Lytechinus pictus: one gene and its partners. The protein of the gene in region 1 purifies or fractionates together with the protein of each later gene. This does not show direct contact. Links are inferred from orthologs where the notes say so. Each region holds a gene or a part of one and is shown in the gene's direction. Other genes may lie near its edges. The genes, in order: probable RNA methyltransferase Y17G7B.18, cyclin-dependent kinase 9-like and RNA N6-adenosine-methyltransferase mettl16-like.

What was found.
Region 2: the proteins of probable RNA methyltransferase Y17G7B.18 (region 1) and cyclin-dependent kinase 9-like purify together in Homo sapiens (affinity purification with mass spectrometry; 10 studies listed by BioGRID and IntAct, counting the BioPlex papers as one, with this or other methods). This does not show direct contact. The link is inferred for Lytechinus pictus from reciprocal best matches to the Homo sapiens genes MEPCE and CDK9.
Region 3: the proteins of probable RNA methyltransferase Y17G7B.18 (region 1) and RNA N6-adenosine-methyltransferase mettl16-like purify together in Homo sapiens (affinity purification with mass spectrometry; 3 studies listed by BioGRID). This does not show direct contact. The link is inferred for Lytechinus pictus from reciprocal best matches to the Homo sapiens genes MEPCE and METTL16.

What each region holds. Positions count from the first base shown.
Region 1 is NC_087258.1:6,972,020-6,982,839, forward strand, and holds the start of probable RNA methyltransferase Y17G7B.18, read left to right. Parts: upstream 1-5,857; 5' UTR 5,858-6,288; coding exon 6,289-7,656; intron 7,657-10,820. UniProt on the Homo sapiens protein: S-adenosyl-L-methionine-dependent methyltransferase that adds a methylphosphate cap at the 5'-end of 7SK snRNA (7SK RNA), leading to stabilize it.
Region 2 is NC_087259.1:1,403,739-1,414,558, reverse strand, and holds the start of cyclin-dependent kinase 9-like, read left to right. Parts: upstream 1-3,439; 5' UTR 3,440-3,740; coding exon 3,741-3,916; intron 3,917-3,925; exon of another isoform or gene 3,926-4,204; intron 4,205-4,228; exon of another isoform or gene 4,229-4,354; intron 4,355-8,730; coding exon 8,731-8,812; intron 8,813-10,174; exon of another isoform or gene 10,175-10,290; intron 10,291-10,820. UniProt on the Homo sapiens protein: Protein kinase involved in the regulation of transcription.
Region 3 is NC_087246.1:17,016,770-17,027,589, forward strand, and holds the start of RNA N6-adenosine-methyltransferase mettl16-like, read left to right. Parts: upstream 1-5,576; 5' UTR 5,577-5,634; coding exon 5,635-5,642; exon of another isoform or gene 5,643-5,703; intron 5,704-7,494; coding exon 7,495-7,850; intron 7,851-8,807; coding exon 8,808-8,948; intron 8,949-9,704; coding exon 9,705-9,972; intron 9,973-10,635; coding exon 10,636-10,705; intron 10,706-10,820. Other genes in the region: lissencephaly-1 homolog, read right to left, coding at 1,479-1,510. UniProt on the Homo sapiens protein: RNA N6-methyltransferase that methylates adenosine residues at the N(6) position of a subset of RNAs and is involved in S-adenosyl-L-methionine homeostasis by regulating expression of MAT2A transcripts.

The sequences.
Region 1 (10,820 bases):
ATCCCACAATGGCCTATAGCGTCCTTTGGCAAGGCGTTAATCCACACTTTGCCACTCTCCACCCGGGTGTTAAATGGGTACCCGGTAGGATGTGAAAGCCTATATGTAGTATGCCTAGCAATTGAGTCTTGGAACTCTTATTGGAATGCTCCCCAGGGAGTGGAGAAGGTGCATACATTGTATGCGGGCATGCAAGGATCCGATGACCGGGGTAATACTGTATAAAGCGCTTAGAGACGTCGTTCCGATGTATTAAGCGCTATATAAATGCAGAATATTATTATTGATGAAAGTATTTATCTTGGCCAGTTCGTATAGTAGAACAGCACTTCATCCCATACATAACCAACAAATTTTAATGTAAAGACCAATGTGCGCTACCATTAACACACTGAAATAGACAAGTTCGGGATTTCTTTGAACCACTGGCATAACTTGGATAACAGAAAAATAACAAAACGTTCTGCAAGAAAAGCAATTTTTCATATTTCAACATCATAATGGATCCGAATAGATATTGATATGATACGTATATAGTTTAATGTAAATGATATAATAATAGCAACTAGTGTTCAGTTTTTCAGAGCAATACCTCATTGCACCTAGTCCAAGTGGATGTCAGGTTCCTAACCTAGTTTCTATGGTAACGGTTACCGCATTAATTTTGAAATGTGTAGCGAATCAGGGATTTGAATTTTTAGGTGTTTCTTAGGTACCATTCTATCGACCTGTTTTGAAGGGGAAATTCACCCTGACAAATGGTTTACTGTAAAATGAGCAGAAAAATATATTGGTGAAAGTTTGCGGCAAGCCCATCAAAGATTAAGATATAGTTATTAGAAGTTTGAGTTTTTATGATCTGTGACGTCATATACTAGCAGCTGCCCCGTATTTAATGCACCAAAATGTATACTTTTCAATATTTTAATCAGTGGTTCATGATTGCTAAAAAAAATCTTTCAGGTGCGGATGTGAAATGATTTGTATGTTACAATAAAAGCCATTTTCAGTTTTTTTTTTAGAAATTGACATTTCATTGATATTTTTTATTACACCATATGCGGGAAAAACTGCTCGCAAATGACGTCACCGTTAAAATGTAAAATTCTAACAGCTTTTTAAATCTTTGATGGATTCCCTAAAACCCCCACCAGTATCATTTTAATTATTTTCTGCTATTTCTACAATAATCTTTATGTCAGTGTGAATTTCCCCTGTAATGAATAATAGTATAATACTTGGGATCCAAAGTGTGCTTCAAATTTGAATATTAGAAGAGCGATTTGACATGAGAAGACCGTGCATGTAAGTCCAAGAAAAAATAAGAAATACCAACTCAAGTGTTATCAATTTGGTGCAGAAGATCTACAGCATAATTTGAAAATGTTACTCTTTCCATTAGTCAAACATTATAATTCCAAATTTCTTCTCAGAACCTTTCATATTTAATCTACTGTACATGGAGGGGCTTTTGGGTTTTTTGGCATGGGGGTTTAAAACTGACCATTTATACCTCTATCGTTTTTACCTGTGCCATTTTTTCCTGTGCCATTTTTACCTTTGCCATTTTTACCTCTGCCATTTTTACCTTTGCCATTTTTACCTCTGCCATTTTTACCTTTGCCATTTTTACCTCTGCCATTTTTACCTTTGCCATTTTTACCTCTGCCATTTTTACCTCTGCCATTTTTACCTTTGCCATTATTACCTCTGCCATTTTTACCTTTGCCATTTTTACCTCTGCCATTTTTACACCGAGCCCTAGAATCTGGGTATTCTAAATGCCTGTTTTATCATGAAAATCAATAAAGCGAGCGCAAAGCGCGAGCGCAAATATTTGATATTCCAATCTGAAAAGGGTCAATTTAAGCTCTGTATTTTAAGCACTTTGTAGGAAAATTGTGAGATGGATACGGATCACAGTTAAAAAAGAGCTGATGTGTTTCATTATTTATTACTTTGAGTTTTGACATAGGACCGGGACATTCTAAGAAAATTATGTCATCATATGAAAATTATGACTATATCTTCCTAATTCTCTTTCTAAGCGCGAGATGAAACTTGTCGATATTCCATAAAGGGACAATTTGAATCTAAATTAATATCTTATTTATATTAATCTAATAAGCCTAATGAGAGCGCGAAATTCGTTAATATTGTTGACATTTAATGAACTTTTGTAATTACATAAATTATGAATAAGATGCATGAGTTAATTTATTTTCAACATTCAATGCGAACGCAAATCGCGAGCCGAAAATTTTGATAAACTGCCATGAAATGTGGATTTTAAGTTGTTTGACAATGCATGAAACAGAAATTTTTACAGAGCACTTTTAAAAAATCGATTTGTAAATCAAACAAAATAATAAAATTTCGATTTCCAAGCTGAAATACGTTTTGTATATTAACTTCCGAATTCGATATTTTAATAATTGAGCACCTAAAGGCAATGCGAGCGCGAAGCGCGAGCGAAAATTTTATATAGTGACATGAAAGATTTTTTTTTATAACTTTCAAATTCAAATTCAAATTCAAATTTATTTATTTCACTTCCATCAATTGTACATACATGAATTGTATACCATATATAAACATAAATATTTGTATACGTTGCAAAAAAAAAGGAAAATAATGATACATATGTTAACACTTAGACAATTTGGGCAACACATTGTAGGTTTTAAATAAGTATACTATTTTTCAATAGAAATTAAATTAAGATGGAAATGGAGGGACCCACTAAAAAGCAATGCTTGTACAATGTGGGCCCCTCAAAACATAGATAACACAACAAATAACAAAATAAGGGGAGAATGCCCTGAGAAGATGGATGGGTGTTGCTGTATGTAGATAGAACACATGCCGTCGTGGACTCAAGCAAACTGGATTCAATGATGTGTATAAAGGAGGAAAAGTATATAAAATAACCTGGAAAGAATATAATGCACGAAAAATGTGATTGATGCCGTAAACAAATAACCGGTAGGAAGGCGGATAAGCGGACAGGAGAGGAGAAAATAGAGGAGAGGATAGACACAATAATGTATGAGGTTCAATAATGAGCACATCGGAGAAGGACTTTCAAACTCTTCCCCTCATCTTATTTCATTTACTCGTCTTCATCCTCTTATATTTCCCCCTTTTTTCTCCTCTCTTTTCCCTTCTTTTTCTTTCCCCCCTTTCTTTCCTCCTTTTTTCCGCCAATAGGGGGGGGGGGGGGTGGGGATAAAGATTTGCTTAATTTCACAAAACAGTTATGTACATCCTGGTCGGTATGCAAATGAGGAGATTGATGACGTTATCCACTCACTGTTTCTTTTGTATTTTATTATATGAAATATTCTAATTTTCTCTTCATTGTCAGGTGAAACAACGATTAATTCCTCCCTGAACATGTGGAATTAGCATTGTTCAATACTTTAATACTAGTATGGTTCAGTCAAGTTAATTGTCCTTATTGTCAAATTTGTTTTAAAAAAATGAAATATTGTATAATTCAAACAGTGGCGTACCGTGGGTCTCGGCATTGGGGGGGGGGGGGCACCGGCAAAATTTCGAGTCACTTAGTGAGTGCACGAAAGCGCGCTAAGTTGCCAGGTATACTGACCTGATATAGAGACATTTTAAGGACAGTGCAATTAAACGGATATTATCTCACTGCTTAAATAGTGCAAGCGCGAAGCGCGAGCTGAAATTTTTGTATACATTGACCCCAAACAGGAAAATTTAAGGACTATATTTTAGGAATCCATTAAGAGTATATATATCTCACCATAGTCATCTAATGCGAATGACAAGCGCTTGCTGATATTGTTAGAATTACATCTGAACACATGAAGCACTTTCTGTAGTCATTGTAATCATGATTATCATACGCATAATGATCAAATATTGCGAGCGCGAAGCGCGAGCTGAAAATTTAGTAAATTCAAACCTGAAGAGGGGCATTCTAAGGCTTGTTTGTAGGAATTCACTAAGACCATACGTATTTCACTAACCAAATGATGCGAGCGCGAAGCGCGAGCTGAAATTTTTTTATATTTAGATCAGAAAAGGGACAATTTAAGGACTGATTTTAGGAATTCATGGAGAGCAGACATTATCTCACCAAACCACTAATGCAAACGTAAGCACGGAAGGAAATGTTTTAAATTAAGACCTTAAAATGGGGCAATCACTTTAAGTAGTCATGAAAAAGAAGCATATGTCACTACAGAAAACAATAATAACTCATAGTGCGAGGAAATATATTTGTTGTATATTTAATTTACCTCCGATTTTGATGAAATTTTCAGCAATATGCTAGTTTGATTTTCTACATTTATTCAAATTTGGAGAGTGGACTTGACCTTTAAGTACGGGCCCCTTATGTTGTTCGGATTCAGGATATCAATAATTTTCAGCTTGCGCTTCATACTCGCATGTGATATGTACACTCCTGATAATTTACCCACTGGCGTACAGATGGGGGGGGGGGCGCTTGGGGGCTCTTGTCCCCCAAATTTTTCTAGACAAAAAAAAGAGAAAAGGAAAGAAAGAAGGGTGACATATGATATAAGATTTTCTGAATTTTACTAAGTGTCAAAATCTATCAAAAAATTAGATTTCTGTAATAAAAATGTCGAAATTTTGCTCGCTCACTTTGCTCGCAACTTTTTTCAAATTTTACGCAATGCCCCATATCTAGTCCCCCTCATTTTTTTTGCTCATTACGCCACCGAATTTACTCGTCTAACAGAGCTTGAAAGTCAAAGGTCAAATCCACCTCAGAAAATTGTTGATTTGAATCATTAGAGAAAAATGAGACAAGCATAAATGAATAATGCTGAAAATTTAATCAAAATCGGATGTAAAATAAGTTCCGCTTATTTTTCACAAAAAAATGTGCACAATTTAGTCACATGTAAATGAGAGAATCGATGATGTCTATCACTCACTATTTCTTTTCCCTTTTTATTGTTTGAATCATACAATATTTCAATTTTCACAGATTTGACAATGAGTTACTTGACTGAGTCATGAAATATTAAACAATATGTAATTCAACATGTTCAGGGAGAAATAAAACTTTGTTTCACAGGACAATGAGGAGAAATTTAGAATATTTCATATAATAAAAACAAAAGAAATAGTGAGTAGGGGGGATGCGTCCCCCTGGGATTTCCGCCCATGGGCGGCACATCATGTGCCCCTTCCATATGCTTGAATCCGTGCTTGTCTTACAAGCAACGCTGAGAAAAGGAAGGAAATCAGAGATGGGCATTGATGCGGGGGCATGTTATAGGACAAGTGCGAAATTAAAACAAACAAAAGAAAAACAAAAGTCAGTCAGAAGCTAACCTTTTTGCACTGATATTGCCCTCTCGATTCCGGGCTCAATTCCTCTCAATCTCCTCTTATCTTCATGGCCTCTGACGGAGGGGGGGGGGGGGGGTAAAGACTGGCAAATCCTTCCCTAAAAAACGACGACCAACCCTGGCTGAGATCTTTTTTAAAGCAGTTTAACGTTTCTCTAATACATTTTTTGATTGTATAGGCCAATGGGGGTCATACACCCTCCTTCGATGACTTCACCTCCATGATAATATGCACTATGTGTACAATGATGTATCAGTGGCCGTGGCGTGGGCCTGTGATTGAGCCTGTATAGCGCGCGAGGTGGCCTCATATTCTGCGAAGTAGCAGACGACAGCATCGATCCTATTTATGAATAATGGGAATAATGCTCATAGTATACAGGCAATTGTAGATTGAAGAAATTTTACAAGTAATTGTCTGCCAGTGACTCAAATTCATGTTCAAATCACAATATTACGGATAAAATGCAAGACAACACAAATTATTTACATCATTTAGAATGATTGTTTACTAGGTAATGAAACATTCCCAAGATTCCATTTTCGCGCAAGCGCGGAAACGGTTATCGTTTTGCTACGCAAGCATCGCGGGCCGCTACGTTCTTGAAACATCTGACATTTCGCCAGAGATTTCACCGTTAGTACTTCATTTTTGCCATCTTTGACTGAGTAGGATTGTCATTTATGACATTGGCCCTCGTTGAATGTGATATTTTGGGAGAAACAACCTTGTGTATTCGTAAAATCTCGGCAGAAACCTTGGGCCTGAGTTCGTACGATCGTGTATTTGACTGGAGTATCGTGACCCTACTTTGCATGTTATTGACATTTTTTATGCAAATCGCGAGGGTGAAGTTGTTTACATCGCCAAATCGCACGTGCAACGTTGTGCAGATGCGGCTGCCGCTCTCATGTCTCCAACGAAATCATGTCGGCGAAGGTATTGGAAGCTAGCCCGGAATCGGGCTCCCGAAGTGATCCATTTTCGAGTAGCAGTGCTAGTATTTATGTGCCAGGAACACTGAAAAATGCTAGAATAGGAGGAACAAGTTGTGGGCTGGCGGTCGTGGTAGAGAGCGCGACCATGGCCACCGAACATGTTGGGAGTCTGACTGCACGAACTCTCCCGTCACACACGCTGGTCACCGGCGGTGGTGTTGGAGGAGCCGCGGGAGCTGGTCGCAAGCGACATCACAGCACATCAAAGTCAGCTGGGCAAATCAAGAGGAGAAGAAAAACGTATGAAAGAAATGGATCGAAACCAAAATTTCTTCTTGGAGGTTCTATCACCGATCCTTTAAATTTGAACAGTCTCGATGACGAAGAGATTTCCAAAATTGCGAATGCAGTCACTCCAGCTTGTTCACCTCTTCCTCAAATTAATAAGGACCCTGATCCAATCATTGTTCCGCAAGATTTCAAAGATCCTCTGAAATTGAATACAGCTGATGACAACGAAGAAAACTCTCCGCTCACCAAAACTCTGGTGTCCAGAAAATCAGGAAAGAAGAAGAAATACCACAATAGCGGTGACGCAAAGCGTGATAGCATTGAATCAGTGGGAAATTCTGATAGAGATGGGGAAAGCTCTTGTACCAGGCCATTGTGGCTCGAGTTGCAAAATAGTAAAACCACAAAACTCGCAAACAAAATTGTTTCTCCAGTTCTTCCAGACTCGAGAGGACGCAAAAGGAAAGCTAGTCGGACAGAGCCTAGTTCAAGACTGGCGAAAGCTCTGCTTATTGATGATTTACTGCCACAGCCACAGCCAAAAGCAAAGAGCAGTGAACCAGAACTAAAAAGGTCGCGAAAGTCTCCAGAGGTAGTCAACAAGTTTAGGAGACAGCAAAGTCATGATTCGAAAACATCTAAGCACCTGCCTAAATTCAGAGAACAGGACAAGAAATTCCAGTACGGCAACTATGCACGTTACTATGGTTACCGTACGCCAAACAGTGATGACAATCGCATAGACCTCTTCAAACGTGAATGGTTTGAAGGCAAAAAGTGTTTAGACATCGGATGTAACTCTGGTCATGTGACACTAGCCGTTGCGAAACTGTTCGATCCATCAAGTATTGTTGGTGTAGACATTGATGGAAACTTGATTGGAGTTGCCAGGAAGAATGTGAAGCACTGCCTTGAAGAACTGTTCAGGGAGAAGAAAGGCAAAGGACGTGTGAACTTTCCAGTTTCCCTGCAGAAGACGTATGGACCTTTGGCACCGGCTGCATCCACTTCATCACCAGCTGAAAGAGAAAAATCATTGTTTCCAGGAAATGTCTTGTTTAGATGTGTGAGTATATATACTGTACATGTATAATAGTGGTAAATTAAACCAAAACCATTGAGTCAAAAGAGGATTTGGTTAATTTAAACTTAAAGGAAAAGTCCACCCCAAAAAAGTTTATTTGAATAAAAGGAGAAAATCCAACAAGCATAACATTGAAAATTCATAAAAATAAGATGTAAAATAAGAAACTTATGACATTTTAAAAAATTTAAAGTTTCACTTAATTCACAATTTATATACATATGCACATCCTGGTCGGTATACAAATGAGCAGACTGATGACTTCACCCACTCACTATTTCTGTTGTATTTTATTATATGAAATCTGAAAAATTATTATTTTCTCCTCATTGTCACAAAATTGTATTCCTCCCTGAACATGTGGAATTGCCATTTTTTTAATGGTTTATGGTTAAGTCTAGTTGGTCCTTATTGTCATATCTGTAAAAGTTGAAATGTTAAATTAAAAAAAATGAAAATAGTGAAGGTCATCATCAACTCTCATTTGCATATCAATGAGTTGTGCATAACTGTTTTGTGAAAAATATAAAGCAAAACTTAAAAATGTCATAACTTTCATATACATCCAATTTTGATTAAATTTTCAGCGTCATGCTTGTTTGATTTTTCTTTATTGATTCAAATTGACAATTTTTTGGGTGGACTTGACCTTTAATAAAGATTGATTGGTAAATTTTGATTATTATACTACTGAAAGTCAACAGAATACCTTTCATATTTACATCAATGAACTGATGATGGTGATACAGTTGATGATTGTGAATTTCAGGGGCGGATCCAGGATTTTCCTAAATGGGGGAGGGGGGCAAAAAATTGACAAGCATTAAAAAAAATTTAGGTTTTCAACCAAAAATTACGTAAATTTCGTCCACGAAAAAATTTAAAAAGCAAAAAAAGAAGGTCCTCACTTAAAAAAAAAGGGGGGGGGGGGCACAGTTGTATTTTAACGGCATTTTTTACATTACAATCCGCCAGTGGATCTGCCAGTGGTGAATGTATGAAGATGATGATAATGATGTTGATGATGGTGGTGGTGATGATGATAATGGTGATGATGATGATTATGACGATGATGACGATGATGATGACGACGATGATGATGATGACAATGGTGATGATGGTGGTAATGATAAATAATGAAAAGTGATGAAGCTGCTGGTAGTGTTGTGTGCATAATGAATGCAATGAATGCACAGACTGTAGTGTTACCAATACTGTACTGGTTTTGAGAGAAGTCCATCACAACTTCACAACTTTATCTTTCTTGTGCCAGCTACAGCACACAATTACCACAGTTCGCTAGTAGTTTGAAAGTAAGACTGCTTTTAATTTTGAAGTTGTATCACCAATACATTTCATTTGCCTTTAAATTTCTCAGTTGCAATGCATTATGGGATGGAATTCAAGTACAATGAAAAACAATCATTTTGTTCAAAACATGCACAGTCCCATTGGAAATTGCCTCACTACTATGTATGTGCACTCTGACTCATACTCATTTTAAAATGACAAAATTTTGAAAGAAAATAAGTGAATATTGTATAATTGAGAAAATAGAGCAGTGATATTTTGATTCAAAACACAATTCTCAAATTCGCAAAAGCATTTGTTACATGGTTGACAGCATTCTACTGATCATCCAATGTAATTTTTACAAGTATATTACCTATATTGAGCAGGTTATTATTTTTTTTTTTTGAATATTACAAGTATAAACAAGTAAATTATACCTGGTATTTTGTCATGAAGGTACATACATGTACATGTACTCAAGTAGAAGAGTAAATTTCTTGATCAGAGAAGTCTGGTATTCTTGGTTTTGAGTCTGTCTGAAAGAACCTACATATTGTAATGACTGCATCCTAGGTCTGTGCCTGAAACTAAGTAACTCCACCCCTCCCTCAAGCAAATCCCAAAGGTTTTTTACCTGTTGAGAAGGTTTCATGAATGTAACATTAGGTGGTTTCAAACCGCCTCGATCACAAGAATCCCCGTTAAATTACAAGAACATTTTTAGGCTAAAAAATACCCATTAATTATTCCTGCATTCACACCGCCCCGAAACATACCCTTTGGGATAAATTCCTGAAGTTAGGAGCATGCGCAGTATGGTCTAATAAGCAGGCAAGGTGCGAGATTCAAAACCACTAGCCCAGCAGCCACCCACGGCGCCCGCGCCCAACGACACGCTGGGCTAAAAGTTCCCGTAAATTGCTTTCACATTGCCAAAATACCTGCGACCTTGGAAAAATCCCCGCGAAAGTTCTCGTAATTTCGCCAAGTACCTACTATTTAGCGGGTATTTTCTTTCGGGGAAATTACGCGTAGTTTGCTTTCACATTACCAAAATACCTGGTATTTTCTGATCGGGGTAAATTTCCCGATCAGAAAATACCTGGAGCTGACGAACTTCGAGGCGGTCTGAAACCACCTCCTGTCTGAAGGGGACAATGTTATCATGGTATGCAATCATTTCTCTCCAAGATTTCCTGAGATGTCTGACAGATAAAAACTCTCCAGAAATCATTGAGAGTTTCGGAGTTCATTTTGAAGTCTTCTGTTTTAAGATCCTTGTATTATCCCTGTTTTGTCATTGTATGAGTCAATATTTTGGTGATTTAAAAAAAAACTTCATGTGTGTTATAAATTTTTATTTGCAGGATTCTAGTAATAAAATTGCTTTCATGTGCAGTAATGATGATTATGTACAGAAGTGCACATACACTGTAGACTTGAAAATTCAGCTAGAACAAAACCAATGTGTGAAAATTGCAGCTATAATTTACATTATTAATTTTAAAGGGGTAGTCCAGGCTGAAAGTAATATGATTCGAACAGATATAGAAAAATTAGATGAACAAAACACTGAAAATTTGATCAAAATTGGACAAAGAATAACAAAATTATGGCATTTTAAAGTTGTGCATTGACGTCATTTAAAGTTTTGAATTGACGTCATATCCTCACTTGTTCTTTTGTATTTTATTGTATGAAATTAGGTTTATTAAAATTATTTCCTCCAAGAACTATTTAATATTAATGGATTGACAACTGAATAGTGCGTGAGATATCCATTGCTGCAACTCATTTTATACATGTAGCAGACATATCATTCACACATGTATGAAATAATGAAACAATTATTA
Region 2 (10,820 bases), on another chromosome or scaffold:
TGATGGATGGTGGAATGAACGATAGTTCTAGTACCGATCAATGTGAGTAGGTTTGCCATAAACCTGATGGGATAGGGATCCCTGTGCCGTCCTCGTAATCTTTGTATCAAGAAAGGATATAGACCCCTCATTTTCCATTTCCATGGTGAACTTGATACACTCATGTTAAGAGTTGAGGTGCTGAAGAAATTGTATTGCTAGTTTCCTCAGCTCCATAGTGCCAAACCACAAAAGTGTCAGCCACATATCTAAGCCACACTTTGGGTTTGTGATTGGAGAGCCGTGTCCTCGAAATGTTCCATGAACATTTTGGCTACTACTGGGGACAAGGAAAAACCCATGGCAGCCCCCTCTGTTTGCCTGTAGAATGTATCTCTCCATCTGAAAGAGGTGGAATTGAGCCCGGGGGGCCAGTCAAATATATTGCTGTACACACGCATGACAAAAAAAACGCGTTTAAAGGGGTATTCTTTCGGTTTTTGACGCGGTCCGCGCGTGGACTCGTTAAGAATATCAAAAACACAGATTTTCAGGAAAAAGGGTGGTTTTGAAAGACTGGTCAATGGTCATTCGCGGGGTCAAACGTATTTAGGGTATGTTTTTTCCCAAAGCTTTTTTTTTTAAGACTAGCCAAACTTGTTTAGGGTATTTTTTTTTTCCAAGCTTTTTCCCCCGAGGTCATATTTTGGCGATAACTTGTTAAGGGGCCAAGATGTGTAAATAAAGCCTGCAAAAAACTTGTTTAAGGGGCTATTTTGCACACAGAGAAAAACTTGTTTAGGGGGTGGTCACGCGTGTGTACAGCAATATATTTGACTGCCCCCCCCCCCCCAGGGAATTGAGGCACATCTCAAGCAGGTCATGGATCTCTAGGGGAGACAATTGTGTCCTGTCAGGGAGAGTTCTGTCAAATTTCAATCTCTCAAGGATGATGGCGCAAGCATCCTTAACTGGTACACTCGTGAACAATGACTAAACATCAAAGCTGATGAGATTGGAAAGGAGAACGAACGAGACAGAACTTTTCCTTTTTTTGAGGGTCCAGTTTGTGCCTCGATGTTGGGATTCTGTGTCACGATAGACTTTCATCCATATAATCAAGGTAAGTGCATAATTAACTTTTCCTCTTTTATTTGGGGTGCTATTGCTACCCATTCTACCCCAGTTTATAGAGTACCCTCTGCCTAATATTACACGGACGAGTCCTGGGGCCTGTTTCATGAAATGGTCTTTGGTAGAACCGCTCTACGTATTAAGAACGAGATATCGCTCAACTGTTTCACAAAGCCGATTTGGGCAAGGAAGAATGGTCCTTGGAAAGACACCTTCAGACATGATCTTCTTTGCACACCGCCCGCCACCGTCGGCATTGAGAGAAAATGCGTTTACGGCAAGCCACACTGACATATCACCTTTAAACATTTTTTTGGGGGGGGGTCATTCGATTGCACTCTGATGCATTTTATCTGGGATGGCGCCAAGTTATTTTTTATATGGGGGCTAGTTGTCATCAACGGATGTCATTTTAACTTCTCCGGGGTAATAGGCCCAAATAATTTTATATGTTTTTTTATTATTCTCCCTCCGTCTTTTCCCCATCCCTTTTTTTTTTAATTAAAGGAAACCAAAACCCAAGAAGAGAAGCAATCTTATGGGAAAGAGTAAAATGAGAGGAACGATTTAAAAAAAGTTTAATCAAAATCGGTTGAACATACATATCTATATTTTTTATTTTCTTAAAGTTTATATTCTTATATAAACTTCCATAAAGTTGTCAACTTAAATATGACAAACGTTTATGATCGTTGTCATTTTTAGCATTGTTTCTGTAAATAGTATTTTTTCCATTGCGGATTGATTTCACACATTTTTCTATGTTTTATTATTGCAAAGCACTACTTTACCCACTTGGACATGTTTGCACCAATTTTCATATTTTGCTTGTCTTGGTATGTTTATACTACTCTAAACACTCACATGTATTTCTTGCGTTATATCTGACAAATGAAATAAATAAATTAGATTTTTTACATGCAGTCTCTCATATTTTCCTTTTTAGTCTCATACAATCAGACACATTGACTTTGTTTACTCCATTCAAACCCTTATTTTACCTCAACAAATAACATTTAATGCATAATTTGCAAAATTATCATTATAAATAAGTATTCTATGAAAATACAGATTATTGAACAAATAATACTATGTCGAAATTACTTAGTCAATTCAATTTTTATGTCGGACAAGGGTCTCTTTCGTTAAAATATCAATGAAAGGTGTCTCTAAAGACTAAAAGGACATTGTGTTCTAAACAAATCCATTTATTAAAGGGAAATAATGAAAATCTCGATTTTATCCAGTTTGTTAGTGAATCTTTAAAAAAATTATTTTTCTCTTTTTACCTCATTTATAAATAAAGTAAGCTCCATACATCAATGATCAATTCTACAATCAGTAATAAATAAAACATTATTTGATCTCCATTTATTGAAATATATGGTTTTATGAAAAGTCGTCATTCCGAAATAAAAGGTTCAGGTGATGATGAAGACTAAATATTTTTCTGATAGTATAATAAGTATAACTGTTAGTATCAATTTCAAACGATGTCGCGGACTTGGAAGACAAAATTGCCTTCATGACCCGGAAAGCGCTGATTTGTCGCCAATCTTCCTATCTCGGAAGAATGGTCCTAGCTAGGACGTTCCTATGTATCGCTCATCTCGTCATGCAACAGGCCCAAGCTCATCGTGAAACAGGCCCCTGGCCTGGGCTCCCTGGGGCCGATTGCACAAAAGGGTCTTTCCAAGGACCGTCTTTCGTGTCGCCCATCTTTTATGATACGCCATGTAAAACGCATTTCAAATAAATTATCTGCAAATATATTTTATTTGTCCGTTAAAATAAACAAAATATTTGTTAATAAAATGATGTGATATCTCATTTTGTATAAAATTTGATTTAAAAGCAAGCTTACGAATTTTATTTGTTTATCATAAATTTCAGAAACACCCCGCTTACAGCGCATCATAAAAGATGGGCGACACGAAAGACGGTCCTTGGAAAGACCCTTTCGTGCAATCGGCCCCTGGGTAACTTAAGTTAGGGGACCACGGCACCATATGTATTGCCTGTCAGTGTCAGACTCAGTGTCAACTCACATTCACAACAACTGAGGCATGTGAGGTGAGGCAGCTCAAGGCAAACAAAGTTTAAGAAGCTCTCAATAAAAAGAAATGAACTTCCACAACATGCAAAAATTCCATATTAATTTATACTCACCTTAAGATATCCGGTCAGCAAAAAAAATGTAGTTATTGACTTAAAAACACTTTTAATGTCCTTGGTTTTCCCCACAGCACAGCCACAGCCACCACAGTCCACACAGATACAGGATACAGGTTTGGAGGTGTGTCCGATACGAGTATTTTGATTGGTTGAACACGAATGACAGAAAAATCCCAGACCCTAATTTTAAAAAAAAAAATTCACTAGATTTGTTTCTCTATTTCCAAACGACATCATTAAAATAGATACTTAAATCATTTTCAAAAGAAATGAAAAGCGTCATGAATTTCAGTTGTTCTTTGAAGTCTTTGAATTCTTAACAACTATAGTTTCATATTTTAAATCGAAAGCCTTGAAATTAATATCGATTCCGATCCCATGCATGCACTGCATGCACTGCACTGTACTAGCTCTCGAGTACTCGCTTCTTTCATTTCAACGAAAATGTGAAAATGGCTGAAAGCAAAGCGTCGACGTTTTCTGGACCACCCGGTCAATCGTCAGCTAATCAAGGATACAAGATGGCAATGGCCCCGTATCAAAAAGGGGGAGAATCCATGGAATTCAAATATTGTGAAGAAGTCACTAAATATGAAAAATTAGCAAAGATAGGCCAGGGAACATTTGGGTAAGTTACCGAAATAGAACTGTAGCGCAACATGCAAACCTTGGACCACAACAGAGCATGTCTTTTGCACATGTATTGGATGGAGAATATCACGATTTCGTGTTGCGGTAATTCATATTGCACAAGAGAAAAATCACCAAATTTGACAGCATCGCAGCCATTTGTGTGACTAGTCACTAGTGGCCTTATCGTGAAATTTGCTTCGACTTAATCACCTCTCTTCTCTCGTGTGTGTAGCCAGGAGGCTCCTAGTCCTAGACCTAGGCTAGATAGTAAAAATCATTCACTAATGTGTGCTTACTCTCCACTTACTAGGCCAGGGATTGCGTCCCATTCATCATGTGCATGTACCGCGAAAAAACTGAAATTTTCACCCCCTGGCCCCAGATTAAATACTTTCCTTCAACAGATCTAGCCATGATGGTCCTGGCTAAATGTAGGGATTCCACTGTGGGTGCTGCACTTACTATCTTACAAAAAATAAAAATAAATCATCATGATCATGCACGCGCGTTATGATGTCATCGGGAATAGTTGTGTTTCTTAATTCTTTCAGTTTCAGCATTCATGAGTCATCGGTCATGACATGATTAGAATGTACAAAAAAGATGCATTAAAAAATGAAATCTGGCCTTATTTTTTTTTTTTACATTATTAATCTGTGATGAATGAATTTCGAATATGATACTTTGCTTACCTGAGTCATGAACGATGTTTCTGATTTTAAAGGATTTCAGGAGTCATATTTCCATGCTCATTTGCTGAATGAAGTCGAAAAAAACGGACGCATTCCAAATTTCTAGAGGCCGACAGATTAAAAATCTTTAAAAGTCTTTGCACTGACAACTGCAATGACATGTGATAAAAATAATTAAATGGCCACCCCTAGACAAAAGTGAAATGAACCTGCCGTGGAATGTCAAAGTCAGGTGAAGTATTTGAATGAGAGTTACAGCATAAAAACATGATAACTTCTTAAAATAAGAGTTTTTAATGCTTGGCATGTGCAGTTGTGCTGAAAGGTAAAAAAAATGTTTACGAATCATTTTAAAATTGCTTTTAGCAAAATATTTTCAAGGATAAGCAAACGCAAAGAAAAAAAACTGATTTGTGACGTCATCAGCTCATGAAAATTCATCGTATCCCACGATACGGCATCTGGATACGGTGATGTAATTTTATGCAACTAAATTTGCGCGAACAGTCATTTTATGAATTATGGTTTTCAGAATATGTAATGTGCGTTAACAAAATCTATGTTGACCTAATGAGTTTTTTTATGTCTATTTAATGCTTCTTTGGCCCCACAGCCGTAACGGTTGCGCGAATTGTGATTGAAGCAGAAAATTAAGGCACTACTGATATATCAATTAAAAAAATGTCAAAGGAAAGGAATTAAAGTCAATCTCATTTTATACTAACAGTTTATAGATTTATTCACATCGATAATATTGATAAATTTACTCCATACTTTCCAATGTCTAGATCTCTACATCCTTAGAAAGTGCGATTAATTTTGTGAATGCATGTTGCTTCTTATGTCAATGACCAACTACGTTGATCTACGGACCGTATGCGTAGCCCCTTGCCTATAAACCTGTAAAGACATAGGTGAAATCAAACAATTCATCCAACGATATTCAAATTATACTAGCAACTCATGTGGGCGTGAACAAACGAAATACATATCCTCTAAAACGTTCAAACATATAAACTTCAATAATTTATACTTGAAATGAATATCTATGAATAAATTGTTAATTCCACTCTATCAGAAATATGTTTAACAAAGTATTGTTATTATGTTGAATGTGTACTTCTAAATCTATTAAATCACGTACCCCTCCAGACCCAAGGTGGATTTCCCAATTGTCATGAAGATTATTCAGCCACAATCACAGCAGACACATCCATAAATGAATATTAATTTCATTCACTCCGAACATTGACTTCTTTTCGCCAATCCCCTCCCCCACAAACATCCCATCATTTCCATTTACATTGCCCATGACGACCCTCATATTCTCTCTTTCTCCTTTACACAGATTAATTTCAAATAATATTTTATTTTAAATCGTAATTGTTAAGCACATGTACAACAAATTCATAAAGTATTCACTGTGATGACTAAAAACATTTCTTGGGACAGTGACATGCGCGTTCATTATCTAATTGGCGGGCAAAGAGCAATAAAGAACAATACAAATGAAAATACACTGTACCGAACGTATATAACTCACATTAAAAATGAGTCGTAATATGATAAATAGTATGAATAATATAAATAAAATCATTACTTAGGGAAATTATAATAGATTCAATGAATATCTGGAAAAAAAATAATAATTCAAATTAAATTAGTTTTGGACCCCATCTAATTTTGGAAGACTCTAATCAAGGATTTTGATGCCATGTGCGATTTGTAGTTCATCCTAACATCGTTTACCACATAATATCACCCATAGCAACCATCACATCCAGATGTCACTCTGACAAAATAACAAAATATACACTATTTTGGGATATAGCCTGCCGAGCTACTAGCACGTAGATACGGCATTTATTTCACATAAATTATCAACACTTTCATTTTTCAAAGTATGAAAACAACTTCTAATAAATTCTGTCTGAGAATCATACATATATAATGTTTTTATACCTCTTAACATTAATCATGTGAAGTCATAACTAATTAAACTGTTATGCCCTAACCCTAATTATGCCCGGGTTTAAAAAAACAGATATAAAACTGAATCAGCACTAAACTCTGAAAAAACCGTATGGCCACCGCAATTTAAACTTTGATGCAACAACGTCTCCTACCAATTATCATTTTTTAATTCACTCTATAAAAAGAACTCCATATTAAAAAACGTGCTAGTGTGCGGTCCTTGGAAAGCTAGAATGACTTCCCCTACAACACCACACCCTTATCTCGCATCCCCTCTTTTCATATTCAAATGAAACACCTTCGACGCAACGGAATTGAATAATTCCGTCACGCATGCCGGAGAACAATTAGTGTTCACCACTTATTGCCGTATAAACAACAGTGGAGGAGCCGTGGTGTAGTGGTTCTGACTCTCACCTTGCAAACAGAGGGTCGTGTGTTCGAATCCCACCGCGGTCTGGCGTCCTTTGGCAAGGCGTTAATCCACACTTTGCCACTCTCGACCCAGGTGCTAAATGGGTACCCGGTAGGATGTGAAAGTCATTGTAGCTTGTCCAGTACTGTGTGCGCCTCACCGGCGACTGACTGGAATACTCCCCAGGGAGTGGAGGATGTGCACACATTGTGTGCGGGAATGACTGATTGAATCCGATGACCGGGGTAATAATATATCTGTAAAGCGCTTAGACACGTCGTTCCGATGTATTAAGCGCTATATAAAAACGGATTATTATTATTATTATTATTAACATTTGCCAGCTATACAATGTAACGCTGGCAAATACATTTCTGTACTGTAGCTGATGTGTGGCATGTCATGTGTCGAGTGAGACAGAACTTGGGAGACACACCGTCGTGAAATTAACTAACACTTTCAAAAGATATAAATATGAATAAATCATTTTGCTGTAAGTAAATGAGTTGGACATTTCATCAATCCATTCCTTTGTCTTTGTCATTATTGATGTGATCTTTGAATAATTTTATCAATTCGCTCTACGGCAGTGTCATCAGAAAAGCATTCATGTACTCAGGCTGGGAATGGATGAAATTAAATTTCGATTAAATTTTGATATCATTTTTGACACTTTACTTTTATATCAACTGAAATCCGTAACATCTAAATTACATTGCCCAAACAAGTAACCGACGGTACCCTTGGCCTTCTCCCCTCATTTTATTTTTGAGCGTATTTACTACCATTTTTAAGACGTAAATGTGAGCAATGCGATACACAAATGCGAGGTAAACATCTTCGCGCCTCCTACAAAAGAGAGTTTTGGGCCTCGAGTTGAGGTCGTATGGTAGAAGAAATCCCGAGAAGAAAACATGGACAAAATAATTGACATGTTTATTTTAGGATCTGAAAACCAAATTTTTTTTTTATACCCCCAGTATATATTATTCAGTTTTTGGTGTAGTTCTAGGCTTGTTTTACAGTAGTTGTCCAGGTTGTCGGGGACGTTCACGGTTGGCGGCTTTGCCCTGAAAATTTTCAGGGTAGTCGGCGCCCGCCCACCGTGACGCGTGGTAGCGAGAACGTTGCAGACGGATCAGGGGCAGCGGAAGTGGGGGGGGGGGTTAGGGTACAAAAACGTAAAAATGACCATATGATTGTGATTTTTTGCATGGTCAGCCCCCCCCCCCCCTCACTTTGAAAACCGTTCCGCGGCCCCTGCGTATTGCTTGCGTTCAGCATAACAGCAAAGACAATAACTGCAGCCTCCGCCTTTGATTATACATGTAGGCTACCACATTCAAGTCTTCTGCCGTGCCATAGACACATACATGTATGGTTAGTGATATTGGCAGCAACGCATTGAACCAGCCCACTATTTCAAATTCCATGCACTATCACTGTCTATACTGCTCATTTCTGATCCTAACTGTTTCTTGCATTGGGAGCCGGGACATTGTCTTCCAAATGACTAAAGCTTAATCATAGTGATTTTAAAAAATGATTTCAATCTTAGGTGGCATAAGGTTATGTCTCACTCTACACAAAAACCCAATATCCCTCAATTTCAGCTGAATATTGTCAGATTGGTAAAGATTCAAACAAATGCAGTTTAGCAAATTATTCATAACCTCATTGAGATTGAAATAAAATAACATATTAACAATTTTTCTCCCTTCCTTCCAGCGAGGTGTTCAAAGCAAAGCATAAGAAGAATAAAAACATTGTTGCATTGAAGAAGGTACTGATGGAGAATGAAAAAGAAGGGGTAAGTTAAAAGTAAAATCTTTTATTATTATTGATCTCAATCAAACCTTTTTTCTTGTGAATACAGTTTGATATACCATCATACCAACATGTGGATATCTGTTCAATATTGACAGTGGTAGATGTACACAAAACCGAGTAATTGATAGTATCATTCATTGCATTGATCATCATGTGCACTCTGTGTACAAATCAACTTTACACTCAATTTTTAGCTTTGTGTTATAGGGCTTAGGATTAGCCAATGAGAGGAGCACTTAACTGTAAAAAAGCAACAACAAAAATCTAGGCATTGTACATGTATGTTTGTTTGGGAATATTTTCAATTTTAGACGGTCGATTAGGTGGTAAATGGTAAAAATCAGTAATAAAACAAAAACCATGAAGTTTGAAAAGGTATAGAACATGAAACCAGTTTATGACTGAAGATAATTGAAAATGACAGAATTATTATCGATTGACAAATTAATATGTAAGGCGTGGTTTTGCCTATTATTGCCGCGGCGTATGTTCGTTTGGATTAGCCAGTAGTTAAAGGAGAATGAAACTCTTGGAGCAAGTTAGCTTTTGTGAAAGCAGAAAAATCAAAGAATAAGATCAACAAAAGTTTGAGTAAAATAGGACTAGCAATAGAAGAGTTATGAGCATTTGAATGTCGAGATCACTAATGCTATGGAGATCCTCCAATTGGCAATGCGACCAAGATCTATGATGTCACAGATGAACAACTCTCCCTTTTTGGACACTGAAAATATACCCCAAAACATCTCTTTTTGCTCATTCTAATCATATGACAAACAATTCATCAATGATATAATGTTGTGAAACCTCTGTACTTGTCCTCTCATAAAGAGAACACCTCACCTTGTGATAAACTCTAGAAAAGTGAGAATATAAGTGAAATAAGTACTAAAGTAATTAGGGAGTTGTACATGTGTGACACCACAGATCTTGGTCGCATTGCCAATGGGAGGATCTACATGGCATTAGTGATCTCAATATTCAAATGCTCATAACTTGCTTCTTATTCATTCAATCTTCCTCAAACTTTCAACAATATGTTTCTTTGATTTTTCTCTTTGATATAGATTCAGCTAGTTTCAAGGGTTTCATTCTCCTTTAACTGGGGGTGTTTAAGAGTTAGAGACATAATAACTAGAAGTTTGATGTAATGTCATCTCTCATCCCTCACAACACATACACACTGATTATAAACTAAACTGAAATGAAGAAACAAAAGTGTAACTAAAATTAATGTTTAAATTATCATTATCATTTTATTAAATTGTTTAACTAAATATCAACTAAATATCAACCCTATCGTCCCTAGCCTTAAGCCACATCTACATTATAATGTACTTGCCCATTGCAATGGCCACCGCTCTCTCATCCACCACCATTTGAACAGACGAAGCTCAAAAACAATACAGCACTACATTTTGATATGTCTCCTTCCCAAACTAAAAATCAAAAACTGCCAATGACTACCAAAAAGCATGAGGACCATGCCCAAACCCTGAAATCCCATAATAATTTCGTTGGTTTTCACTGCATCCATCCCATAATAACAGTATAACACTAGTGTATTTCTAAAAACAAGGATACATTACAAGAGAGAGAGAAAAGAGAGGAGAGGGGTAAGGAAGAAAGTGGTCATTGTGCATTAATGCACTACACTGATAGATTTATTGTCCAAAGGGGCATTAGCCTTAACCTCTGATACTTTGATCAAAGACCAGAAGCCTTGGAAGGGACATGAATGAAAAGAAGTAATTTTGAAGATAGTAAAACAATAATGAATGGAAAAGATGCAGTATTACCCCAAAATTCTCAAGCTTACAAATATATGAAGAAACTTTATGATCACTTGACAGACCATCTAGGTAGTTATATAACCCTTTGTGTTTATTAATAAATTATTATCAATGTAAGAGAGATGACAGTGGATAATAGTCTCTATGAAATACATATTCTTACTTGCATGATAAAGGGAAAACATTTGAAATTAG
Region 3 (10,820 bases), on another chromosome or scaffold:
CTTAAAAAAAGAAAAGTAAAAAACTATGGAAATGGTAGCAATCTACCTCATATTGTCTGAAAACAGTCTCCTAATTCCTGAAGCGAACTCTTTCTAGGTTGTCACAACTTTAATAAAATCAGGCTTCTTCTGAGCTACTCTAAAAAATTTGTTTCATTTTGAGGTACATGTACAGGTACATGTACAAGGTTTTAATACCCCAGTGATGATGACATGATGTCATATACACTGTAGTCTCATTTCATAAGTAGCATAGTTTTTTCTACTTTCAACAAAGTTACCGTAATCCAAACGTTTAACAGCACACACACACAGAGCATGAGAGCAATTTAGCCCTTGACCCGGGGGGGGGGGGGGGGGGGGGCATTTCATAAACATTTCTCAAACAAGTTCTCAGATTTGACAATTTTATTTGAATTTGATTGGCTGAGAAGCATTTACTGTGGTAACTGTCGGATAAAATAGGACATGTCGGACGTTCCATCCGACAAGTCCTTTCACAAAACGCTCTCCTGGGGGGCGTTTCATGAAAGGACTTGTCGGACGTTTTATCCGACAGTTACCATAGTAACAGCACCTCTCAGCCAATCAACATCAGAGAAAGATGTTAGATCTTACAACTTGTCGGATGAAAATGTTGATGAAACACTCCCCTGATGTCTAACATAACAACAGCAATAGGCCTGGGACTTTCGGGTATTTTTGTCTTCGGGTACCAGCTGTAATTTTCTGGCGGGTACCCAGGTACCCAAAAATCATGTCGCATGAAATATGACTGGTGGAATGACCCCATAATTGGCTAGACGCTAATCTAACACTATTAAACCACAATATTTTTGTTCATTGAAAAGGTCATTTAGATCTAAATATAAAAAGTGAAGAAACTGCCGTGAAAATATTCTTTTATAGTTTAAACGAGCCGAAAAACAGTCACATTCTTGTAAAGCCGAGAAATTTCCTTTTCTTTTTATTTGATAATTTGTTCCTTCATTGGCACCGTAAGGTCTCAAACTCTCAACCGCAGACATGCTAATTGTCTTTGCTGCACAAAATTCTATGTTTCTGTCTTTTAGGTACTGATATTTGATCAAATATCAGGGATATTTGTAAGCTTAGATATTTGTTGTTATATAAAGGGATACTCAAATAACATTTTTCAATTATGCAATTGCCTAATTTGGATGTCGCTAAGAGTAACGTCCACGTCCAGACGGAAGGGGTAACGTGTCTTACACTACGCAATACAAATCAAATACAGGTACGTTATACTGCTAAGCAATTTTTGGGTATCGTGTATTAATTTTTCTACCCGGGTACCCGACGCTTCCGGGTGGGACCCGGGTTTTAGTCCCAGGCCTAAAAAGCAATTTACATGTAACATTGATATCAATACAAAAGGTGATTTATACGGAATTAAAGTAGGAAAAGAAGGCCCTTGTTCAAAAATAAAGTCTATCTCTTCTTCTCATGATACTTACAGCTCTTCTCTCTGTCTTTGTGAGAGCACCATGGTGACTCTGTGGTCGAAGGCTGCTATAAGCAGCTCACTGTGAGAATCAAGTCCTCCTCCTACTCCTCCTCTATAAAACCATCAGAGTGATCTTGATTGGAAATCCACTCTTTATTTTCCTCTTCCTTTTGAATAAGTCTTGAGAATTTCAGTCTATTATTCCACGATAACCACTCGATAGCTTCTTCCACATACCCTACCTCCGTTCCATCTCACTTCAACCTGTGGGTAAAAAATAAAAATAAAATATTTAGCCTAGCACTACAGGTAGAACCCCAATATATAATTTTCAATAAAATGATTACCCTATGGGTAACCTAAACCCTCTTGTGAAACATTTTTTTCCATCCTATGAATTTGTGTGTCGTCTGCGACCCGATAAAATTTAATGCCAATATTGAGGCATACAGAACATCTTACTGCGTAAAATTCTAAATCATCGTAGGGATAACCATACAGCGTGTCCCCAAAAATGTCCCTCTGATTATATACGGCTGAATTAATTAAAAATTGAAAATTATTCAAATCAAATGTATGGTAATAGGAAACTCATCTCAAGTCCTTACTTCTACATGTATATCTCGCTTCAGCAGTTTTGAATACACAGTCTATTATGTAACAATGGTGCTTTTCAGCCCATTCCAAGTTCGCATACATACAGCACTGCTACCACTGCTGGTTCTGCACTGCCTAGCATATCAACCCCCTTTGATCATTCAGAATCTGATCAGGGAATTCCCTGAGCTGACCAGGAAATCTCCATGATCTAGCCAGGCTCATCAAATTACAACCTTGTGCAGGTTAAGAAGGGCGACAAGAGTACTTGACAATTAATTGTGTTTGATAATGTATTTCATGCCTAATTCCAACAATAATGCATTCTTGATTTAATTCTTTTTTATCATTAAAACAATGAATTCACTGTACCTTTTTGAATTAAAAAAAAAAATATTTTCACAAGTAATGTTCGCTTTCACAAGGTGTGATACACTTGTGGTTTGCTCTTCATCATAGTTCAGCTTATTGTAATTATCCGTCATTCATATCCATCCATGATTATCCAATATTCACAATTTCCTTCAAGTTGGTGCACTGATCGCCTATCAATCATAAAAACTTCTTTTTTGATGGTTATTACCCTTCTGCACATGCTCAAGTTTATGATTTGATGAGCCAGGATTGATCAGGAAAATGTCCCTGCTCAAATCCTGGATAGTATTTAAGTGGAGGTTAACATGTTAAAGACAATGCAGAAATACAGCAGTGTTGCAAACTTGGAATGGCCTGAAATGCACTACTGTTGTGTAACAGTGTATGTATTCAAAACCGCTGAAGCGAGACCAATGACATTTTCAAGAAGTTAGATTATGAAATAAGCTTTCTACTCATGTACCTTTGATTAAAAATACTACATTTTGGAATTACTTCAGCCCTATGTCAGAGGGACATTTTTTGGGGGGACGTGCTGTACTTAAATCTGTGATCATGCTACAAGGGACAGTGATTTTTTGAAAATTGCCTTTTGAAACGGAAAGTGGCTTTTCAAATTGAAAATCACAGAAAACATATCTTTACTCAAAATGCATAGAACAGCAACAGAAATTACTCCAAAATCTCAACAAAATACAAATACTAACTGGCCACAAAACACGATCTCACTTCGCTACAATCATGACAATCCACACATCGTGACTGCACTTGACTCCATCACTTGATCATACATCAAAAATACATTGTACAAGCGGGTCAAACGCAAGCCCAAGCTGAAATAAGCGACCAAACATTGTTTGATTATAACCAACGTACGTAGTAGGCAGCAACACACGTTCGTGTTGCTACCCTCTAGTTCGGTGATGTAACAGCACGAACGTGGTACTCCTCAAATACAAAATGGCAGATAGGCAATAGTCGTCGACTGCTCAAAACGATGTCCAAAAATCCCCACATTATCAATAAAATTTCATTCAACCCTTAAATAATGCTAATAATGTGAAAGGTTAGGATGTATTCATATTAAATGTGTTTCTTAAAATTGTTTTGTGTTTGTATAGATCAGATTAGAGTGGATTCCAAAGCGTTGTTAGTGGCGGATACAAATTCTGACCAGCCCGAGTACTGTGACATTGCTACTCCAACGGAATTTCCATTTTTCAAACATGCTGAAACGGATTTTAAGATTTTCTGAAAAGGAAAAGGCAATTTTTTTACACAGAAATCACTTTCCCTAGATGCTACTTATTATTTATAATCACGTATTAAATTTTAGTATTTGTGAAATAATAATTTTTATCTATAAATTGTTCTTCAAGACGGCATCGCTAGTCGGAAGTACGTCATCACGAAGCGGTTCAAGGGTCAAGTCTATTGTCTTTGCTTTGTTGACAAACGGATCGAGGGATCCACGGGAGATCGGGTCTGGTAAGAAACATCTCATTTTTACCATTTATAGTGAAATAATTTTTATCCCTTTATACGCATTAGGCGCCTGAAGGTTCATAAATAAAATTGGACAATACAAACCGATTTCACCCTCTAACTATGGATTTCCTTGGGAAATCCATCTTTGTGTACATGTGTCTCTTATATGGATGGGGATTCAAGACTCCATGATGAATATGTCAAAATATTTAAAAAAAACATCATCATGGAGTCCTCAAGACTAGACTAGATCTAGCTAGCAGGCCTGGCCCATTTAGTCATTGGACCTTAACCCTTCTGTACTGTAAACGCTCTTATTTTCGCGAATTAATTTTTCACGCTTGGCGGCTTCAAAAAATATTCGCAAGTTCTTGAATTTGCGCTGCACTCTCCATAATCCAAAGTCACTTCCTTCTTCCCCATCTGTAAATGGTTTTAATTAACATTTCAGCGACGAAATTGTATATTCTGATCATAATTCTAGCTCTAAAGCGGCGTAATTCAGCATTGTTTTGATCCAATCATGAGCTTTTGTGACATTTAGCGCAACATTTCTTTGCAGGGTGGACTCGGGGAAGGCAAAACGGAGGCACTGCTGGCCTGGTATGGACGGCCGAGCACCTATAATATAAAGGACCAGGGGGATTACGGCTATTCAAAGTGCATGGGTTCAATCAACAAACCTGGGTGATCGACCCAACGTCTTCTTAAAAACTAAACAGATCTTAACACTCACCAATCTCGCACAGCAAAAGCAATTTATATTTCAACCAAATTCCAAAATCATAATTTAAATACTGATCTGCGACTATTGAAAAAATTATCTCAATGCTTTGGAACAAATTCTCGCAATGGCGTGCATGTCTTTTTATTTGTGATCGATTTTGGAGCTCAAGCTTACTTGCTTAAATGTCGCCCTCTATACAAGATCTAACAAGTTATAGGGCCTAGGTCAAAATCAAATTGTGCAATCTCTTTGCCAAAACGATACACACAATTGAACCGCGGTTCAAAACTTGCATTAAAATAGATTAGATGCTCATAAATTCGTGCTCGCCGATCTTCATCTTGCCGCAAAAATTTCCACTTTTAGTTTTACAGTAGTTGTAAAGAACTGCAGAAGCTACCACTTCCATGACTGCACTGCTACTGGGCCTGGCTTGCAATGTTGCGCTCCCTTCTAACTCTGTCTCTGCACTCACTCACGTCACTCTCACTCAACTCAGCTCATGCACTGCACTGCATGCATTGGCCAGAATATGCACAACAAATGTCAACGCCTACGGAATGGGAATGCACATTTGCCCAGCACTAACGTTACACCTTCTCCTTCACACATATCCTAGCACACAACCAAATTGCGAACTATTTAGATGTAGAATCGAATTCTATAGATTTCCAATGAAAATAGAACGCTCACCGAAAAATAAAGAACTTAACAACCAAACATCAAGTATATAAACCGGTATTCGTCCGTTGGTTCGAAGTATTTTTCTCGCAACGCATATTGTTGCTGTATTTCCGACTCACATATATTTGCTACACGTTGAAAAATTACCCAGAATCCCTTTCGATACTTGTCTGCAATATCATGCGCAGAAAACTTGTGCGCAGTTTCTAAGTCTCTTCGTCGTCTGCAGCAGCAACTACTCGGAAATCAACAGTAATTTGGGCTGTTTCTTATTGCATTTTTATTGATCTATAGAATGATATTGTATTAATACCATTATTTTTCAGTATTACTTAAGCTGTCTCATTATTCAAAGCACTATCAGGTATCGTCTAAACGTGTATATTACCGATAATTTGCGTGTTCTTGTATTTTGAAGTGACCGGTTATTACTGCTAAATTTGAGGACGTTTATTTACCTTGGACATGAATGCCGATTTTTAGCCAGCCACGGGCACGGCGGCGCGGCCGCGGTATTGATAAGATATGCATGTGCACCCGCTATGGCCTTAGACCAAAAGCTTCGGTCTCTGTTATGTTGGTTGTTCAGCTGAACTCCGTTGGCTTCACTAAAAAGCTTCGGTCTCTGTTATGTTGGTTGTTCAGCTGAACTCCGTTGGCTTCACTACCCAGGGGGGCCACTTCCATTCACGAGTGGATACCATGCGCGACCATGGGGTCTCAAAAAGCACCCTAAACACGTAATTTCCATAATCTGAAAATGCACCCCTTAACAAGTATTGGCGTGTGAAACCCTACCCTTAACAAGTATTGGAAACAAAACGAGATCATGGCAAATATTCCCTGAAATGAACCCCTAAACAAGTACAGGAATGTTTTATTGTTACGGGTCCTTCGGTCGTCAGCTTTACCTCATTTGGTTTAGTACGACCCCACCTTCTACACCTCGCGCAAATCGGACTCTAAACACGAAGTGTTGGGGCCAAAAGGACATCCTTTATAAAACATTTTAATTTTGTTTTATCATCCCCGCAAATTCGACCCTAAACACGTAATTGTCCTAGCGAAATAGATACCCTTTTTTCATTATTATTGCGTTTTTGACACCCTTATCACGTTACGTACGTAACGTGCCCTATCGTGAAAAAGACATCCTTTTTACGTGTTTTTTTGGTCGCGCATGGTATCCACTCGTCAATGTAAGTGGCCCCCCCGGGCTTCACTAACCAAATACAGAGACCGAAGTTCTAGCGCGATCTGTACAGGGGACTCAATGGCCATATGTTTATGTACTTAAGATCGGATAAAACGGGGAAGTGAATTTGCGCGACAGCCGAGGTAAGTCACTGTTTTTGTTCCTTTTAACTTGATTTTTCTCAGTTTTTTGGCAATTGATGCCAAGAGGGAATATTAATTTGCATTTTGGTCGCGTGAATTTTCAAAATTTTTACTCATTAAAGACAAAAATTGAAGAGCCCCGACGGGGGGATTTTGCATTGCAAGTCCCCTAATGGTGGCTGCACGCTAGCGAGCCGTCTGTGTATGAGGAGAAAAAAAAAAAAAAAAAAATGTTAAAAAACTCCTCGAAACAGACGGCTGCCAGCTGTCTACTATGGCCTATGCCTAGTATTATGCACTGAAATGATACATGCAATGCATAGCCATAGATCTGACTAGTAACTAGGCCTTTATCATGTGAAGCATGCCTAAAAATTAACTGTGTGTGTGGGCTGGATTTATAAAAATAGCTTTATCGCCAAAATGGTGACATTATTAGCCTAACTAACTTAAATCAACAATAGATGCTTGGAATGGGCTGAAAATTTCAGAATAAATGTTTGTAGTCTATTCCAAACTATAAATTTGTAAGATAAGTGATGTTATTTTTAAACAAACAAAAATTTTCACAAAGAATCAGCCACTTTTTTTAGAAAAAAAAGTGTCGGTTAAATTCAAAACACTTTTTTAAAGATTAAAAAAAATGTTGGATAATACTGGATTATAATTCAAGATATTTAGGTCTACCCCACCAAACTAAAAGCGTAACACAGTTTTTTTTTCAAAATGCATTTTAAAGCATGTTTTTTTTATTATTACAGTACCAACTCAACTCTGATACCTGTTATCGTGTGTTTCCTTTATTTATTTTTTTTAGATCTAGATCTAGACATCTAACGTTAGGCATAATGGCCTTCAACAAATTCATGCACCCTCGCAACCGCTATAGGGACAACAAACCAAACTTTGATGAATTAGCAAAGAAATATCCAGAGTTTGCACGTCATGTGATCAGGAACCAAACAGGCAAGGCGACCCTTGACTTCCATGATTCTGAGTCGCTGAGGTCACTAACCTGCACGCTCCTGAAGGAAGACTTTGGACTAGAGGTTGAGCTACCTCTTGATCGTCTCATCCCGACCCTGTCACTACGGCTCAACTACATTCACTGGATAGAGGATCTCTTAGCATCGACTGGCCACAGCAAAGGGACGGTGTGGGGCATTGACATTGGTGAGAATCTTCTCAAACTTTTATTTCGCTATGAATAATCAGGTGATAGTCATCTCACCCACATTTTCGCTTGCCATTCCAAAGACTCACTGGCGATCACTTATTTACTGTAACCGCATCTAAAGAATAGAAGAACATCCCCTCTTTCGTCAAATCAATGAACTTTACAGATCACTCGAAGAAAGTCCTAAAAACATTTCCTGATTTCCTGTATTTTCTTTATTTCTTCTTTATAATTAAAATTTGGTTGCCCTTTGCTTTGTAAATGCTGTTATATAATGCAGTATGGATAAAATTACTACTACTACTAAAATGCTACTTGCTAGTTATTATGGAGTGATGTACAATGTTATAAAAGAAATTCGACAAACAACTTATGATCTCCAGGAGCAATTGCAAGCCATTTAAATTTAAGTTGATCACAATTTGGCCACTGGCTAAAACAAACCCATTTGATATAGGTCTTATACAAAATGGTTGATCCACCTGTACCTGACTGTCTGATGCTGTTAAATTTTATTGCTTGAATTTATCTGCCCACAATGTTACATCGTTGTGTTATGTACAGACACTTTGTTCTGTATGGTTATGAATTGGTCTGATGCAGTTGTACAGCGTAAAAACAATTATTATCAAAGCTTGCATCTTAGATTAGATTGACCAATGCTTCTGCATTTTCTTCTGTAAAATGAATTTATTTTAATCAGTTCACACTCTGAATTTACAACGTGAAGAAAACAATAAAATCACTTCAAAAATGGAAAATTGGCAACTTTTGAAATTCTGCCATTATCACTCATTTTTCCTTGTGTTATATCTCTATTTCTTTCTTTAAAAAGTATAGTGAAAGAAAAATGTTGCCAATTTGAAGAGTAGAAGTAGATTAATCCTAACGTAATGAAAGCTGTATACCTCTACAGAATGCCTGATATCATTGTTTTTTTTTTAATATTCCAGGTTGTGGTGCATCGTGTATATATCCATTACTTGGTGCTCAGTTGAACGGATGGAACTTCATTGCATCAGAGGTAGATGCCTTGGCTATTCATTATTCTAAGGAGAACATCACAAGTAATGGACTTCAGGATAAAATAACAGGTAATAATAGATCATTCATTTATCCTCTGATTGTCTGTTTTTTTTTTAAGGAGATCCAACTACCTAATCAAGTCTTTACTATGAGTGGAAAGGTGTCATATGTTACTCCCCCTGAGATAAAATTGCCCATTGAACATTTTCATAGAAAGCATCTCCCTTGATGGAAACAAGTTCCCTCAGTGTCTCCCTAGAGATCACCTTACCCAAAGGGCAACAAATTTATATTTGAACACAAATTCCAAATTGCCTTGGAAGTTTTCCAAGAACCATGGCTCCCCTCCCCACCCCAATTCATCATTGGACAACATTTAAAACATACCACAGTGTTTTCATCATATAAAAGATTATAGAAATGTGACTTGTCTACCATGTGTTAGTATGGTTTCTTGGTTGCCCTGAAGATAGTCACATGTTGGATGGGAGGGGTTTCGATGTTCATTTAAGCAGATAAAACATCCTCATTGTTTCTGGGGTTTCCTTAAGATACCTGTATCAATCAGTACATATGATTATGAAGATTTTTTGACTTTGTAATGTTGTCTGACATTACTTAAATCAGTGAAGTATTGCTTGAAAAGCTCTTGAAAATGCGGTCTTATGCTGACAAGCAACTATGTATGTAAGTCCTGAATCCAAACTGTAATTACAGGTGATATTTTTAACCTGATTTTTTATCATTAAGTCTGTCAAAATGTAGTCATAGCTGATTGTCAAGATGCCACAATGTCAACTTGACTATTTCTTTTGCTTCTACAGTTGTGGAGACATGTGAAGGCAGTATGTTTGAAGATGTATTGAACAGCGCCCCCTCCAGACAGCATCTCTACCACTTCACGATGTGCAACCCACCCTTCTTTGGCAATTCTCTGGAAGCGCAAGGAATTATGACATCTCGCAGCATGAGTCGACCTGAGCCCAAGTCAGTGAGCACTGCTGCCGAACTGGAGATGATCTCGGAAGGAGGGGAGGTAGAATTTGTCCGTAGGATGATCGAAGAGAGTCTTCGTCTTAGGCATCAAGTTGTGTAAGTCACCAAGTGTGCTTTCAAATTAGAGTAAAAGGATGTGTATTAAGACTATCCCAGGAGACAAGAAAAACAATCTAATGAGCATGTCGTCTGTATGGATACATGTTGAGAATTTGAAAAATTAGTAAAGGGAAATAATATCTGTGGTCTTTATAGACAGATGGTTCTTGTTTACAGGTTTGACTGAACATGCAATTGATGCAACTGATCTAGATCTATGTCTGTCATCATTGTTGGTCATGACTGTTGATCTTGTATTTTTTTGCATTGTGCAGCAGTGTATCAGCACATCATAAAATAAAATGATACATGGTGAAAAGGGCAACTTGAGTATATTTTTTTCTAATATCCAATGTGGGACTTTTGTTATTTTTCATCATTCATATACTTATATAAATAGTTGTATTTCAAACATTACATTTTCACTTTATCTGCTGAATTCAACATGTTTTTGAGATTTTCAAAATTCCTTCATGATCTCTCAATCCATATATAGCTAATAACCCTTTATACATTATGAATTTTAAAGGGAAAACTTAGTTCCATCAAAACATACTCAATTATTTCAGTTAGTTACAGTTAATATTTCACAGAATACATTAGTTTGAATGGGTATGAAATAATAATGATATATGATGTCTCTTGTTTCTTTTTCATTAGGTGGTACACATCGATGCTGGGGAAAAAATCCAGCCTGGCTCTTGTCAGAGAGGAGCTTAGAAAACACAAGGTGAGATTGTTTCTATGATATACACATTTTGATTAATTGGTAAGCAATCCTTCAATGGGCCATTTCATAAAGATGTTAGTGATGCCATACATGTTTTTACTCCAGACTAAAGTCT